3 linked regions of the Drosophila melanogaster genome follow. The protein of the gene in region 1 purifies or fractionates together with the protein of each later gene. This does not show direct contact. Each region holds a gene or a part of one and is shown on either strand. Other genes may lie near its edges.

Region 1 (3,967 bases):
TCTGGCGTTCGAAGAGTCCGGCCATCCCTGCCGTATGCAGTTCGTGCAATCAAAAGGTGGCGCCTGTGGTGCCGCCTGAAGATTTTCAAGCGCTGGTCAACCAGGGTGTGGATCCCGAGCACTTTATTATCATCAACGAAGATGTGGATGCCGAGAGCGATGTTAGTGTGGGCGAGCTAAAGGAGTTTGCCTCGCCGGATGAGTCCACCACGGCCAAGTTGCTGGCCGTGAGCACAGCAGCCAAGAATCTTAAGCGCAAGATGCCATCAGAGAGCCAGTCCAATGCCATAGCGTCCACCTCGAAGGCAGCAGAGGTTGCCCAGTCCCAATCGCAGCCGATGGCCACCGGAAATGCAGGAGCTGCCAAAGCTGCGGGAGGCTACTCCCCAAAACTGTTTTATGGCAATCATCAGCGAAGCGGCGTGATTGTCAGTCCTGTGTCCCAGAATCTGGGGGTGGCTGCGACAACGGACAATGTGGCGCCCGGATCGGAGGCTCTTGAGGAGCCGGAGGAGGCGAAAAAAGCACGTAGAGTACAAAAGGCCAACAGATATGTAAATACGCCCGGCAAACGCAGTAAATAAGCATTAGGACCTACGCATATACACTTTACATATTTTTTACCACTTATTTACATATAAAGCGTGCATGCCGTCGTTCACCTGACCCCACGGATGTGGATTAGGGAACGAGGCATGCGCCGTAGTGTTAACGGAGGAATCAAATTAATATTATATACACATATATCTATTAATATCAAATGCAATAGGCATTTCGAATATTATTCATTATTATTATTATTATTATCACGTACAACAAGTGTCTGTATGTTCTTCGGTTTTAACGCCCCGCAAAAACAAATTGTAGTTAACCACGAACATCACACGAATCCGGCAGTCATTGGCAGAGCAAAACAGATAATAATAATTAAAAAGCAAATTAATTTTAACTAAGAAATACAAAAAGAAAAACAGCAAAGAAATATTTTAAATAAAACTTTAAAACCATTAAAATCAACTGCTACGAATGTGGTTTTTAGTATACTAATTTTAATTGCGGAACGAGAATTGATGTTCTGTGGACTTTGTCGCGACAGAAACTTCTAGAACAAAATGTGGAAAGTGACACCTAGAGATAAGATAATTTTATTTACAAGATTAAAGATGGAAACAAGTTTACAGCTTTTGTGAGCGCTCCTTGCCAGCCAGTGGCTTATTGCGTTCATCCCAAAGTGTGACCCCATCACATGCACAGATTCTCTTAAAGTTTTCCAAGATGCCCGCCGAACGAGCAATTATACCACACGCAATCCTAGTGGGAAAGGAGTTATACAAATCAATGATCAATCTGAAAGTGGGGCATATTTACATACCTTTCCCCAGAGTTGCCGTCAATCAGGCTCTGATCATTGCCCCCGCGTCCCAGGTCATCGGCATTGGCTGTTAGGACGACAGCCCTTCCGATTATGTCCCAGACCTCTAGCACTGGATCCACAAATCTAAAGGTGGCCCTGCCGTTTTCATCCGCTCGGATGTTGCCAAGATCTCCGGCGTGCCGCTCCTCTGCCCCAGCTGCAGGGCTTCCATGTGGCGACTGGCGGGGATTGTAGTGTTCTCCGACCGACGAGCAACCTGCGGAAGTGTCACCACTCTCGTGAATATGTAATCCGTGCAGTCCAGGCGATAGACCGTCCACAACGCCATCCACAACCACTCCAGGCTTCTTGTCTGCGGTAATGGTGGTAAACCGAACCACTCCCTGGATTGGTGTCTTGTCCACTACACTTCCTGTTGTGTTTATAAGGGCCACCGCCGACTGGCCGCCGAATCCGGAGAGTACGGCCCGGACACCTGTGGCTTCTATCTTGTCCTGAATCTCTGACCAAGGTCGTTGGGTTTGGATTATCACTCGACCTTCCTGGGTGTCAATTTCCACCTGGCCGACCCCATCCAGCGCCGAACGGAGGGCACCGGCATAGGATTCGTCACCTCTTCGCATCTGCACTGCAAATTCGATCTGCACATTAACATGGAAGCAAGTTTCCTGACCCGAATAACATATACTTACCTTAATGGAGCTCATTTTTATGGTCAAAGTGCCGACTAACAATGATAAACAAACTTTGGTATCGATGGCCGTCGATAGGTTCAGACAAATCGCGCCTTCTGTCATCGAAGAACGATAGGTTCACACGGAACGAAAGTTTAAGGCGTTTGTAAACCACTTATCCAATAAATTATAACGTTGAACTGATATTACTAGTTACGTATTAGAACACAGATGTAATATTTTTATCGTAGAACGTTTTACATTTACAAAACCAAAGTTACTAGCTTCGGTTTTGAACTTTTGCATAAATTGCGTGCTTTTTGATGAAGAAAATGAATTCTGGTATTTCTATTTAAGTCACTCCATATTTCCAAAATGACTATATTAATAATATTTGTGATGTTTGAAATTTATATAGATTACAACTATATTTTAAGTGAATAGATTAAAGCTTAATTTAATAGGGCTAAGTACCTTGGATATAATCATTGGTTTTCTGTTTAGTTTGACCAACAATTTTATAATCTTAAGCTGACTTTGTCCAACTCTTCTGGACCGATTCAAAACGCTAACCCCGAACTAGCTTAGATGCTAACTTATTTAATTTCCGTGCTAATTTTCAGACCTGTAGCTCCATTCACTTCATATTACGTTTTATAATTTTGGCTTAACTTTTCTTTATGGCCGCCGACAGTTTTAATCAATGGCCATAAAGAGTATTTTTAAGCCAAATGATGCTAATTTTTTGGAATTGATAGCGCTAATTTTTGTCTACAAAAACCGCAAGCGACAGATGCTGGCTTATTGAGGCCCAAAAAAAAAACGTGCAACCAATATGAATGAAGCTTTTCCATGCGCGCCACTTTATTGCAGCCAATTGCGCCTTGACTTTCATTGTGCAAAATAAATTAATTTCACTTGGACCCCGTTATTGATAGCAATTTAAAAACAATTGAGAAATATTTAATATTGCCTTCAATTGAAGAACTGTAAAAGGAAGCACTACAACAAAGAATTATGATAAAACCGTTCAATTCCCAAAAATTTGGCGAGTCGGCACATGGCTTTGTCAATTAAGGCCTTTCTTAGCACGTCGATCTAGGGATAGAGATGAATGATATCGGTGGATAACAATTAGTCGCTATTAGAGTACCGTTACTAGACCTTAAGTTCAACACTAGGAATGTAAGAAATTTAGTTTCTTTCCCAATGGTTATGTGGCTATTCACATTAGTAATATTATTTAATGTTTGTATTAACTTATATATAAGTTGAGTTAGTTCCGCAGATCCGTAATAATTTTTACAAGTCTGAGATGGTCCACCCTAACGACAGATCGACGCCATACGCCCTGAGCCACTCTGAAGAGAAGAACGCCCACACAAAAAGGCAATGTTCTCTTTGGGGCAGCGACTAATGGCAACAGCTGTTCTTGTTGATAAATAGCATAAAGATTTTTGTCGCCTTGTTTTGTGAGAGAGCAACAAATGCAAGTCAGCCTCTGAAACAATCACCTGGAAGGATACGTGTGTCGGGAATGTAGATAGATAAGTTGGTCTGGATAGTGCGTGCCACGGAAAATTAGCCTTGCCTTTGTTTCACTTGCATTCCACAAAGACGCACGCACACACACACGTGCACAGAATGACCCTTACAGTGGGGCTTTGGTATTGGTATTTGTATTTGCGGGTCGAACGCCACGCTCTTTTGGAGCGAGAGTGAGAGAGCGAAGAGAGAGAGAAACATAACGGGCTAGTGTATTTATTTTAATATTAGCTTTGTGACGTTCGCTCACCAAATCAGTATTTTTCGTACCATCGGCGTTAAAACACATGTTCAGCGATTTAGTGCGGGAGTGTAAACTAATCTGAGTAACAACAACAGCATCGTCGGCAAAGCAACAACAACGGCAGCAGAA
Region 2 (4,775 bases), on another chromosome or scaffold:
ATCGGCGATAATATCTACCAGCCTGCCTTCGACGATGTCCAGCGTCCCCAGGATCCGCAGGCCATCTTCAAGCTGAAGAAGCTGCTCAAGTTGAAGAAGCTCCTGGGTTAGGAGAAATTCGCAATAAGCTTCGTTCAGATTCTAGTCCAGCCAATTGGGAACCTTGCCTCCCCCACTACATTCGATTTTCAAACCGTTTTGTTTAGACAATACCCAATAAGCACAAACACACAAACACACACAAAAGCACATACATACGAGTAAAGTATACGTAATCGTAACTAAAATAAATGTTATTTTCATACACGTCGGCTTTTCTTATATCATCGAAGCGTCGGGGATGAGATCTCCATGTGTGTCCAAAAAGGAGCTAATGACTGGCAGCGGGTCGGGTTTTTGTTTGCCTAGATCTGAATAAGAAACCCGTTTCGGATCGTTTCTGGGTAGAGAGTGTGAAAAGCGAACGGAATCTTCCTTACATGCGTATAAATATTGGCCAATCTCAGTCGTAAATGAATCAAGTGGGTTCAATGATGTGCTAATACAAGGAGCCCACTGTGAGATTAATGATCATACCTACTTTCATTAATTGGCATGATTAGTTAACTTGATATGCCAGTAATATTATAGCTTAACTAAATATAATATATTAAATATTTTCAAGTATCAAAATTATGTAAAAAGTAACGATAACTCATCACATATTGACATATTGAGAGCTGGTCACGAAAAATCGGACATGATTGCCATCAAGTTGAAGCACATGGTTCCAGCCTTTCAACTTACCATAAATTTTAACATTCAGGTGTATTAGTAGTATTAGGAATGATTTTAATGTGATCGTAAAAAAAGAAAATTATTTGGAATTGAAGGTTGGACCTCTTCAAACAAAAGACTTAAGAAGCGAACTTGTTTTTTTTTTGGGCACCATTTTGTTTTAACCTTGCAATAAAAAATGAATAAGTAAAGGTTTCGTTACCAAATACTTTCTTTAATTTCACTCTTGTTTTTCTTCTTAAAAACCTAAACACATGTTAAGTTAAACTATAAATCCATAAATGTGAGGGTGTGGTGTCTAGCCCAGGAACAGCAGCTTCTTGAGCAGCTTCAGCTTGAGCAGGAAGGATTGGTCGTCGGATGGGTTGACGGACTCACTGCCAGGACCTTCGAAGCCATCGGGAATGGCCTCCTCGCGAGGAGCAGCACTGGTGGCCATGAAGCACACGGCAAGGCAAAGGAAGACGCTCTGTAAAGGAAGGGTCAGTAAAGTTCCTTGGTATTCCGTGTCGATTTTTAGTGACGCACCAGGAGCAAGAACTTCATGTTGTATGTGGCTAGATGTATGTAGTAATCGATCGATGGATTCGCACTGCGCGTTGACAGACCTGCTTGCACTGATCACCAGACCCCGCCGACCCGTCTATTTATATGCCTGTTCAGTTGAGAGTGAGTTGCTCGGCCGGCAGACCGCTCGTCTTTCATAGAAACTAAAACAACGCGAAGCATCAGCCAAAGATTCAGTGATTCACATGTCGGCGGGCGGGGTGGTATATCAATCTGTTTGGACTATTAAAAGTGATTTTAGTCCAACACGCAATGTGATAACAAAAGCCAGGTTCCCTTTTTCGTAGCCAAGTAGATTACCTTATTGTGGTGCCATTGTTGAACTTGCGACGCCTTATGTTTGGGCAATTTGTTGACTTGCGGTTTCTCCGGCTTCACTTCTTTTTGCTAATCGGTGTTTCCTTGGTTCTGGGTTCTATTTGACTTGGCCATTAGCTGCGAGCGGAATCTCTGCTAAATATTAATTAGCAACTTGACATTGGCCTTAACGTTCAGATCAGCCATTAGCTTTTCGTTCACACCTCCATAATAGGCTAGAGTAGCTGAATTATCCGAATATAGTTATATTTTTAAGTGTGTATGCTGGCAGACGGCGAATAACCCATTGCGCAAAATTGATAAGATTTTGAGATTTAAATTTAAGCAGGCGGTTTGAAAATGCCGACCTGCCAACTTTTCGAAATTAGCTGCATTGAGTAAATTAAAAGTCGAATGTAGAGTTATTTGTAAATTTCTAAATATTTCACATCCAAGCTAAAATCTGTAAAATCGAAGTAATTTTATTCTTATAATTAAATGTGTTTACATTTTAATTAAGATTTGCTTTCCATAATTATCAATCAAGATTTACAAAATGGAGTAGAAAAGAGGAAAATACATAAATCTCCTCTTTGATTTTCCCACTTTTGAAAATTTAAATAAATAGCGCCAATTTTCCAGTGCTGCCACTCTTATCAAAAAGTTTGCAAGAGAACAAAAAATCGATTGGCCTCGCCAACAACATTACTCACTGCACTAATCGATTATAATTATATATTAAAGCACAAAAAATACCAACAGATATCGAAATTCGATAGCATCGATACGCTGTAACAAACAAATAAAAAAAAAGAAACAAATTAGTCAAATTACAAAATTTATCAGTTATCCAATTGCACACAAAAACCAACTCAAAATTAGCCCAATTTCCATCGCAGGCCCACACGAAGAGAACAAACGGATACAATGACGGGTTCGTTCAGTGTGAAGCTCAAGTCCAAAAAAGGTCAATTCATTGTCAACGACCTGAACGAGCATACGACGCTGGGGGAGCTGAAAACGAAAATAGTCCAGGCCACCGACATCGAAGCGACGCAATTGCACGTCCTAGTAGGCTATCCGCCCAAGCCATTGGATCTCTCGCAGCAGCAGGAGCAGCGCGCCCTCAAGGCGGTCGGAATCAACAGCGGAGAGACGCTGATTGTGGAGGAGAAGGCTGCCCCTGCTCCTGCTGCCCCTGTGCCTGGCGGCACCACCGTGGAGGATGACGAGGCGCTGGCGCGTCGTCTGCAGGCCGAGGAGGAGGCACAGCTGCTGCAGGAAACCGCTGGCGGTCCAGTCGCCCAGGCAGCAGACTACCAGCTGCCAGTGGCGCCGACGGAAAGCGGACCGAATGGCGACTTTAATGGCATACTGCTGAAGAAGGTGGTGCCGGCGGACAATTCGTGCCTCTTCACCAGCATACGATTCGTGCTCAACGGGAAGGTGGACAACGAGGGCAGCGAAATGATGCGTCACATCATTGCGCAGGAGGTGGCCGCCGATCCGCAGAGCTACAACGACGCCGTGCTGGGCAAATCGAATGCCGAGTACTGCGCCTGGATACAGAAGGCGGATTCGTGGGGCGGCGCCATCGAAGTGTCCATACTGTCCAACTACTATGGCATTGAGATCGATGTGGTGGACATACAAAACGCCATTATCAATCGCTTTGGCGAGGACAAGAACTTTGGACTGCGTGTCTTCCTGCTCTTCGATGGCATCCACTACGATCCGCTGTACATGGAGACATCGCCGAGTGCTGCGCCGGCCACCATCTTCCCGGTGGAAGAGCTGGGCGTCTATCAGCAGGCCGAGCAGTTGGCCAACGAGGCGCAGTCCTCCCGCCAATACACCAATGTGGATAAATTCACGCTGCGCTGCATGCAGTGCGATGTCAGGCTGGTCGGCCAGGTGCAGGCCCAGGAGCATGCCAAGCAAACCGGACACAAGAACTTTGGAGAGATTTAATACGTCCTGATCTTCGGCACCGTCTACATTGTGGCATTCATGCTGTTCGCCTACTACCTGCTCACCACCTAGCCACAATCGCCGTGCGAGGAGTCATCTCATTAGCAGTACTACCTCCACATCACCGCCTACCTAAGTTATTAATTATTGAATTGAGCCCAGCCGCCTGTATTCATGTTAGTCCCCTTTTAATCCCTTTCGGAATGCAATAAAATATACCTTCATCTACACTAGGCAAGTCTTGGAGTTGGTACCTATATAGCTATAAGGTCAAGTTCCAGAAAGCTGTCCTGAATTCACAAGGCAACCAACTACGTACGTACTTTTTTACTGAGCGTCGAACAAAACCGAGGCTCTCAACTGTTCAATTACATTAAATTTAAAATAGTTATCTTAGGTCCAGTGCTAGGAAGCCCATGGTGGGGTCATGGCAGCGGGATTCTGGAGGTAGGACATCACCACCGCACTGACGCTCAACATAAAGGAGGAGAGCACCTGTTTGGCATCGTCGCTGGCCCGAGAACTGGCGAAACTAATGCAGGAGCAGTACAGCGCAAACCAGGCGCACCACTTGAGCTGTGTAGGTGGGTTACATACTGATAAATGCCAAGTCACTTGGTTGTAATCTTTGGGGTGTTATTACCTTCATCATCAGTCCACACATGGAGAAAATCATGCCCAGAATGTTCATGTAATCCGGCATCATGTCCTCGTTGGCGCCGCCGCTCTGGCCCTGGTTCTTGGGCGCCTTGTAGCGGTTGATCTTCTCCTTGCGGCGCGGATCCACGGTCATGTTCATTTTTAATTTATTTAATTTTCACCAATTTAATCGAAAAACCAGGTCAGATTGCAATGGATGTTTGCGTGGAATGTGAATGCCGTGCAGGTTGCTTACGTTCTTATTTGACTGGCATTTCGGACACAAGGTGGCAACGCCCCTTCATCAGCTGTTTCTTTATTTACACCGCCGCCACACGCACGTTTAAAATAGTTTTTTTTTAATTACATAAAAATCACAGAAAATTGCAACAGATAACATGGCTCTGCGGTTGATTAGCCGTTCAATGAGCTGCCACATACGTGGCTTGCAATTAAATGCCACCGGAAGACGGTTAAATAGTTACAACATCAGCCGGCTGGTTATTCTGCCTGCAACTTGGTCT
Region 3 (6,823 bases), on another chromosome or scaffold:
GCCCGCCGACCGTAAGATTCCGCGCATCCGTATCGAAACGCGACAGGCAGCAATGCTGCAGAACCAGCGCATCATCGTAACGATTGACACATGGCCGCGCAACTCGCGCTACCCACATGGACATTTTGTGCGCTCCCTGGGACCGCTCGGAGACATGGCCACCGAGAACGAGGTTATCCTGCTGGAGCACGACGTCCCGCACTGCAAGTTCTCGGACGAAGTGCTTAGCTTCTTGCCGAAAATGCCCTGGACAATTACTGACGAGGACTATTCCAAGCGTGTGGATCTGAGGGATCTGTACATTTGCTCTGTGGATCCCCCGGGCTGCACGGATATCGATGATGCTTTGCACTGCAAGGAACTACCGAACGGCAATCTGGAAGTGGGCGTTCACATAGCCGACGTAAGTCACTTTATTCGTCCAGGAAACGCACTGGACATGGAGGCAGCGGCCAGGGGAACCACCGTGTACTTGGTGGGCAAACGAATCGACATGGTACCCGAGTTACTCAGCTCAAATCTCTGCTCATTGGTTGGCGGTGTTGAGCGATTCGCCTTCTCCTGCGTGTGGGAAGTGGACAATGAAGCAAATGTGTTAAGCAAACGCTTCCACAAGAGCGTCATCAAATCGAAGCGTGCCATGACCTACGAGGAAGCGCAGAATATCATCGACGATGCCACGCAACAGAATGAAATAGCCAAGTCCCTGAGAAATCTTAATCGGTTGGCCAAAATACTGAAAAAGCGACGAATGGATAATGGGTAAGATTATATTAACACCTCGTAATCAAGTGAACTAAGGCATCCATAATTTACAGAGCCCTTGTCCTTGCCTCCCCGGAGATCCGCTTCCAGGTGGACAGCGAGACACACGAACCACTCGAGGTGGAGGTGAAGCAGATGCGCGAGACGAATTCCATGGTGGAGGAGTTCATGTTGCTGGCCAACATCACGGTGGCCGAGCATATCGCAACGGAGTTCTCCGAGTGCGCTGTTCTGCGTCGCCATCCTCGGCCACCGCCTACCAATTTCGATCCGCTGGTAAAGTCTGCGCGCTACCAGGGCTTCCAGGTGGACATCAATTCGGGACTGGAGCTGTCGCATTCACTGGACAAGTGTGTCAAGGCGGATAATCCGTACTTTAACACAATGATCCGCATCCTCACCACACGCTGTATGATGCAGGCAGTGTACTTCATCAGCGGCAGTCTGCAGAAGGAGGAGTTCTTCCACTACGGTCTGGCTGCTCCCATCTACACGCACTTTACGTCGCCCATTCGTCGTTACTCCGACATTATGGTACATCGCCTGCTGGCCGCCTCAATCGGCGCGGATAGCACCTATGCCCAGCTATTGGACCGAAAGTCAAATGAGGAGCTGTGTCATAATCTTAACTACCGCCACAAAATGGCTCAGTACGCTGGTCGCGCATCAGTGGCCCTCAACACGCATCTCTTTTTCCGCGGCAAGGAGGAGGATGAGGAAGGGTGAGTCGAAGAAACCACTAGTGGGCAACATTCTTTTCAATTATTACCCATCCCTAGATATGTGCTATTTGTGCGCAAGAATGCTCTGCAAGTGCTAATCCCCAAGTATGGCCTGGAAGGCACTTTGTATCTAAAGTCGGACAAGGATGGCAAGGACGGTGTGGAGCGCGTCAAGAGCGAGATTGTCTTCACCTTCAACGAAGAGGATCATACACAGCGTTGCGGTGACGTGGTGTTCCACTCCTTTGATCCAGTCACGGTTCGTCTTAGCCTGGATTCCAGCAATGTGCAGCACGAGAAGCTGATCTTCCGGCTGGTCAAGCCGTACATCAAGGGCTTCAGCGTGGAAACGACCACCGAAGGAACTGATAGCCAAGCGGTTTCTGCGGCACCTCCATCGAAAAAGACAAAGAAGGATAAGAAAAAGAAGTAATTCTTTGGATCTTTGCTTATGTGGAACTAGACTACGCTGAAGATGTGTAACTACAATCATTTCGTATAAATAAAATGTAAGGTTTTTAAATTCCGCTCCGTTTCGTAAACCTTTTCCACCGTTCCGGCTCTGCCGATCTCGGAGAGTTTCGAAAGCATACCTTTGATCGGGTGTTTTGTTTAAGGTTTTGGTTTCCAACTTGCGTTCTACATTCTCCAGACCCATTGCAAAGTTTCGACTACAGTGCGACGGTTGTGCTGAGCTCGTTTGATCCAAAAAATTCAAAAAGAATATATATAATAAATACATATATACATTAACTTGACTTGAATATATACAAGAACGGAAGTTATACAAAGTTACAATGGAACCCGGTCCTAGTGCAGTGAACTACGAAGGCAGTAAGTCGAAAAAGGTTTCGAAATTCATATGAAAAGGCTAAAAAATTTAATCAATGAGTAATCGCGTGATTTTTGCGGAACATATATTTATATCGGTACACATATTTTAATACGCATATTGAAAACATCAGTTAAAATAAACAACTTTTAGAACATCAAATAAAGTGCTTGGAAAACTAATATGCCAACTTTCGTTGTGATCTAAATGAATTCTATAGATTTTCGAATTTTCCAAAAACTATCTAAGTGGAGTCCAACTTTTTACAATATTCTTGGATTCTTGCAGTGCGATGTAGATAGATAGATAATTTATGCACAAGAGTTCAAGGTGATAAATATTGTGTTTTAAACCACTGCTCGCCAATTAAAATAATGAACTTTCGATGCGACTTTGAAGTGATTAATTAGTGTTTAGTTGTGCGCCCAAACTGTCGGCACTAAATATTAATGAATTCGATTAGCTTATTCAACAAGGAGGCTTTTAGGTCCAATATCCATCGCCAATCACGTGTGGATTATGCTCGGCGTCTGGGTGAGCCGCACACCCGACGCATATGTGCAGTACATGGGTGCCAGGTTGGGTATATAGAAATCAGTTGAGTGACCGCGACATTTGGAAAATTTAAAATTCAATGTGCCTGGTGTGTGTAAGGTGGTATGGAGTGGAAGGTTTGTAATTTAGTTTGATAGCCTAATTAAAAGCAGCGATTAACCCAATAGAGGAAACAATGAACCCGCCCATCTAATGGTCACCTGCTGCTATACCTTTTCCGCAGGTGAATCTGTATGCGGCATGCCGGTGGAGGCTCACGATCCTCTCTACTTGAAGGCCTATCGCCAGAGTGTTCAGAATCCGGCTGCATTTTGGGAGGAGCAGGGTAACCTGCTCGACTGGGATCGGCCATGGGAGAAGGTACTGGACAACAGTAATCCGCCATTCACCAAGTGGTATGTGGGTGGCTACCTGAATGCCTGCTACAATTCCATTGATCGCCACATACTGGCCGGCCGCGGCTCCAATGTGGCCCTAATCCATGACAGCCCCTTGACTGGCACACTGCGTCGGGTTACCTATCAGGAGCTGTATGACCAGATCGTTCTGCTGGCAGGCGGCCTGGCCAAATTGGGCGTGGTCAAAGGTGATCGCGTCGTGATCTACATGCCCCTCATCCCGGAGACCATCATTGCCATGCTGGCAATTGTGCGTCTGGGTGCGATTCACTCCGTGGTCTTCGGTGGCTTCGCTGCCCGCGAACTCTGCTCGCGCATCGAACATGTGGAACCAAAACTGGTGATCGCCTCCAATGTGGGCGTGGAGCCGGGCAAAGTGGTGCCCTACCTGGACATCCTTCATTCAGCTATTAGCATGTCGCGATGGCGACCACCGCAGCGTAACATAATCTTTCGGCGTGATAATGTTTCGCCAGATACCACCAAACTGGATCCTCTGACGGATGTGCTCTGGTCGGATATTCTTAAGATGGCGGAGGGCGAGCGGCCCATAGCCTGTGTTCCCATCGAGGCCAACGATCCTTTGTATATCCTCTATACCTCTGGAACGACGGATAAGCCCAAGGGAGTACTTCGCACCATCGGAGGTCACTTGGTTGCTCTGGTGTACACGCTGAGAACTCTCTATGGCATCAATCCTGGCCACACCTGGTGGGCGGCCTCAGATATGGGCTGGGTGGTGGGTCACTCGTACATCTGCTACGGTCCACTCTGCCTCGGAGCCACCAGTGTTATGTACGAGGGTAAACCGGACCGTACTCCTGACCCGGGTCAGTACTTTAGGTGAGTGGTTATGCCCCACCTTGTTTCTTACACATATTAATTGTACCTATATTCAGGATCATCGACCAATACCAGGTGCGCTCGATCTTCTCGGTACCTACCTCCTTCCGTGTTATCCGTCGTGCTGATCCGGACATCAGCTATGGGCGACAGTACTCCATGAAGTCGCTGCGTGCCATCTTCATTGCCGGCGAGCACTGCGACTACGAGACCAAGTCCTGGATCGAGAAGACCTTCAAGGTGCCCGTGCTCAACCACTGGTGGCAGACGGAGACTGGTTCCGCGGTCACCGCCACATGCCTGGGCTTCCAGCAGAACCTCAGTCCGCCCACTTACTCCACTGGCTTGCCACTCATGGGCTACGACGGTGAGTGATGCTCCAGTTAGCTTGGCTGAGTGAGGATTTAAGTCCTGGGACATCTCTCTTGCAGTCAAGATCCTGAAAGCGGACGGCAGCGAGGCGCAGACCTCGGAGCTGGGCAGGATTGCTCTTAAGCTACCACTGCCACCCGGAAACATGGCCACTCTTTACAAAAACGAAGAGCTCTTCCGCACGCTTTACTTTCAAAAGTTTCCGGTAAGTCACCAAAAGCAATTCCCACAACTTGTTAAATATCATTTAGTTACTATAGTATAGTGTATGGCTTATATCTGAAATCTTAAAGATACTTTATTTTATCTTACACTTAGGGTTACTATGATACAATGGATGCGGGCTACAAGGACGAACGTGGCTATATCTTTGTGACAGCTCGCGACGATGATGTAATCAATGTGGCTGGCCATCGCTTGTCCACCTCTAGCCTGGAAGACGCCGTGCTTCGGCATCCGGACGTCGTGGACGTGGCCGTTTTCGGGGTGCCCGAGGCCACCAAGGGACAGGTACCACTGTGCCTGTACATTCCGGTGGAGAACTGCAAGAAGACCGATGCCAAGCTGTCGACGGAGATCATCAAGCTGATCCGCGACGTCGTAGGCCCCATAGCCGCCTTCCGGCTGGTCACGTCCGTCAACAACCTGCCACGCACTCGATCCGGTAAGACGATGCGCAAGGCGATGGCGGACTTTGCCCGCAATGAGCGCGTTGTCCTGCCGGCGACTATCGATGATGCCAGCGTGTTCATCGAGATCCGGAGGGCTCTGAACCAGTTGGGCTATGCCATGACCGCACCGGATCCGATTGTGGCCAAGTTACTCGACTGATGGGTTGCAAGGACCCTCAACCTTAACCTTAGCTTGTACGATACGATTCCCAAGAAGTAAATAAAATGTAAGCCAGTTTGGCTGGGGGTTTTCCTCCGCTTATCTGCGTAGGCCGCAAAGTGGCGAAAATAATTTAAATGTTAATCGATGGCCTACATGGTGACCCATTCGCGCCCATTCGCCCATTATCCACTTTCCAATTCCTCCCTGGCGCACTGACGCACTATTCGCGTACAACTGACACCCAATCAGTTTATTCAAATTTTGTGCAAATTTCGCGACACATTGTTGGGCCAGCAAAGTGTGGATTTTTTTCGAATAACCAACACCCCACATTTCGCAGTTCGCATATGGCACTGGCATTGCATTATTTGGGCAGGATTTGTCCACATCAAAGATGGACAGCAAATGTCAGGCAGCCAACCATAACCCAATTAGTGGGCTTAACGTTGGTGGGCATCGTGGAGTGCATTATCCATAAGTAATCAAATCCAATTCTATCTTATTATATTAGCAAAGTCCATTTTGTGTGGGTATTTCTAGAGGCAAACAATGACATATAGTCATAAGGCAAACACAATTATACAAATAGTTTAATAAAGCGTACATATGCATTTCATTTCTTTTGTTGAAAAATAAAACTCTATTATATTTTTAATTTCTAATTTTTAAATGACACTCGTAACTATGACTATGCTTTTTATGGTAAATTCTCTATCTTCTCACTGCATTAGTCACGCTGACTATAACAAAAGGAAGGCAAATTAGATTTCCTTCTTGCTTAATTCGAATTTTCCCGGTCCAAGCCCAGTTTATATGTGCATCGTGGTCATCCCACTCCAAGATACTCATCTCCTGACGTCACAGTCGAAATTCTTATCGGGGAACTAACTTGGCATGCGAAACACGCACAAATTCAAATTAATTGCAACGCTTCGCCTGCAAATCCCAGTCTCATAAACCGAAGATTACTATGCTTACGCATCCGTGGAGCAAAATGCAGTGGCCAGGACAACGGCTTTAAAGTTGCGGCTTAAAGCAGATCCCCGTGGGTTGGACAGCACAATATTCGATGGTGGCCATAAATGATTATAACTACCCATAAATAGGTGATGGTTGCCGGCCACTGATCATAAAGCCGACAACTTTTACAGCATAATTAAGAGCTGATAAAGTTATATAATAGATAAACATATTGGGGAAACTCGGTGGGCTCCCATTTCCATTCCCACATCCGCTGCTACCGTCCAACGTTTGCCAAGTGCACACATCGTGCTTCGGTCGGTGTCGGTGGCGTATGAGTGATGTTTGAGCACGCCCACCAAGTATCCTGCAAGGAGCGCAACATGTGGTCCCACGTCCCCCATCACCAAGTTTTGTGCGAATCCTGCGTGTATATTGCCGTCAGCCAATCAGAGGCCACCGCGGCATCTGCGCTCGTCCTCGGCGGAAGTAAATAAAAGCGGATGTCCTGGCTGGACAGGACATCATTCGAGTGCTTGCGT

Evidence for each region.
Region 2: the proteins of Ccs (region 1) and Yod1 purify together in Drosophila melanogaster (affinity purification with mass spectrometry, with the first as the bait; one large-scale study listed by BioGRID). This does not show direct contact.
Region 3: the proteins of Ccs (region 1) and CG6432 purify together in Drosophila melanogaster (affinity purification with mass spectrometry, with the first as the bait; one large-scale study listed by BioGRID). This does not show direct contact.

What each region holds. Positions count from the first base shown.
Region 1 is NT_033778.4:10,120,443-10,124,409, forward strand, and holds Ccs (copper chaperone for superoxide dismutase), read right to left. Parts: upstream 2,133-3,967; 5' UTR 2,083-2,132; coding exon 2,068-2,082; intron 2,017-2,067; coding exon 1,373-2,016; intron 1,312-1,372; coding exon 1,176-1,311; 3' UTR 1,131-1,175; downstream 1-1,130. Other genes in the region: dmpd (dampened), read left to right, coding at 1-584.
Region 2 is NT_037436.4:5,131,823-5,136,597, forward strand, and holds Yod1 (Yod1 deubiquitinase), read left to right. Parts: upstream 1-2,048; 5' UTR 2,049-2,117; intron 2,118-2,397; exon of another isoform or gene 2,398-2,523; 5' UTR 2,524-2,568; coding exon 2,569-3,612; coding exon of another isoform or gene 3,613-3,684; 3' UTR 3,685-3,848; downstream 3,849-4,775. Other genes in the region: CG15212 (uncharacterized protein), read left to right, coding at 1-111; CG15213 (uncharacterized protein), read right to left, coding at 1,076-1,246, 1,306-1,323; CG10674 (uncharacterized protein), read right to left, coding at 4,018-4,188, 4,256-4,411; CG4611 (uncharacterized protein), read left to right, coding at 4,650-4,775. UniProt on the Drosophila melanogaster protein: Hydrolase that can remove conjugated ubiquitin from proteins and may therefore play an important regulatory role at the level of protein turnover by preventing degradation. Involved in the regulation of DNA damage repair.
Region 3 is NT_033777.3:24,334,750-24,341,572, forward strand, and holds CG6432 (uncharacterized protein), read left to right. Parts: upstream 1-2,172; 5' UTR 2,173-2,284; coding exon 2,285-2,321; exon of another isoform or gene 2,322-2,499; intron 2,500-3,097; coding exon 3,098-4,115; intron 4,116-4,171; coding exon 4,172-4,482; exon of another isoform or gene 4,483-4,546; coding exon 4,547-4,692; intron 4,693-4,805; coding exon 4,806-5,318; 3' UTR 5,319-5,896; downstream 5,897-6,823. Other genes in the region: Dis3, read left to right, coding at 1-762, 819-1,487, 1,545-1,920.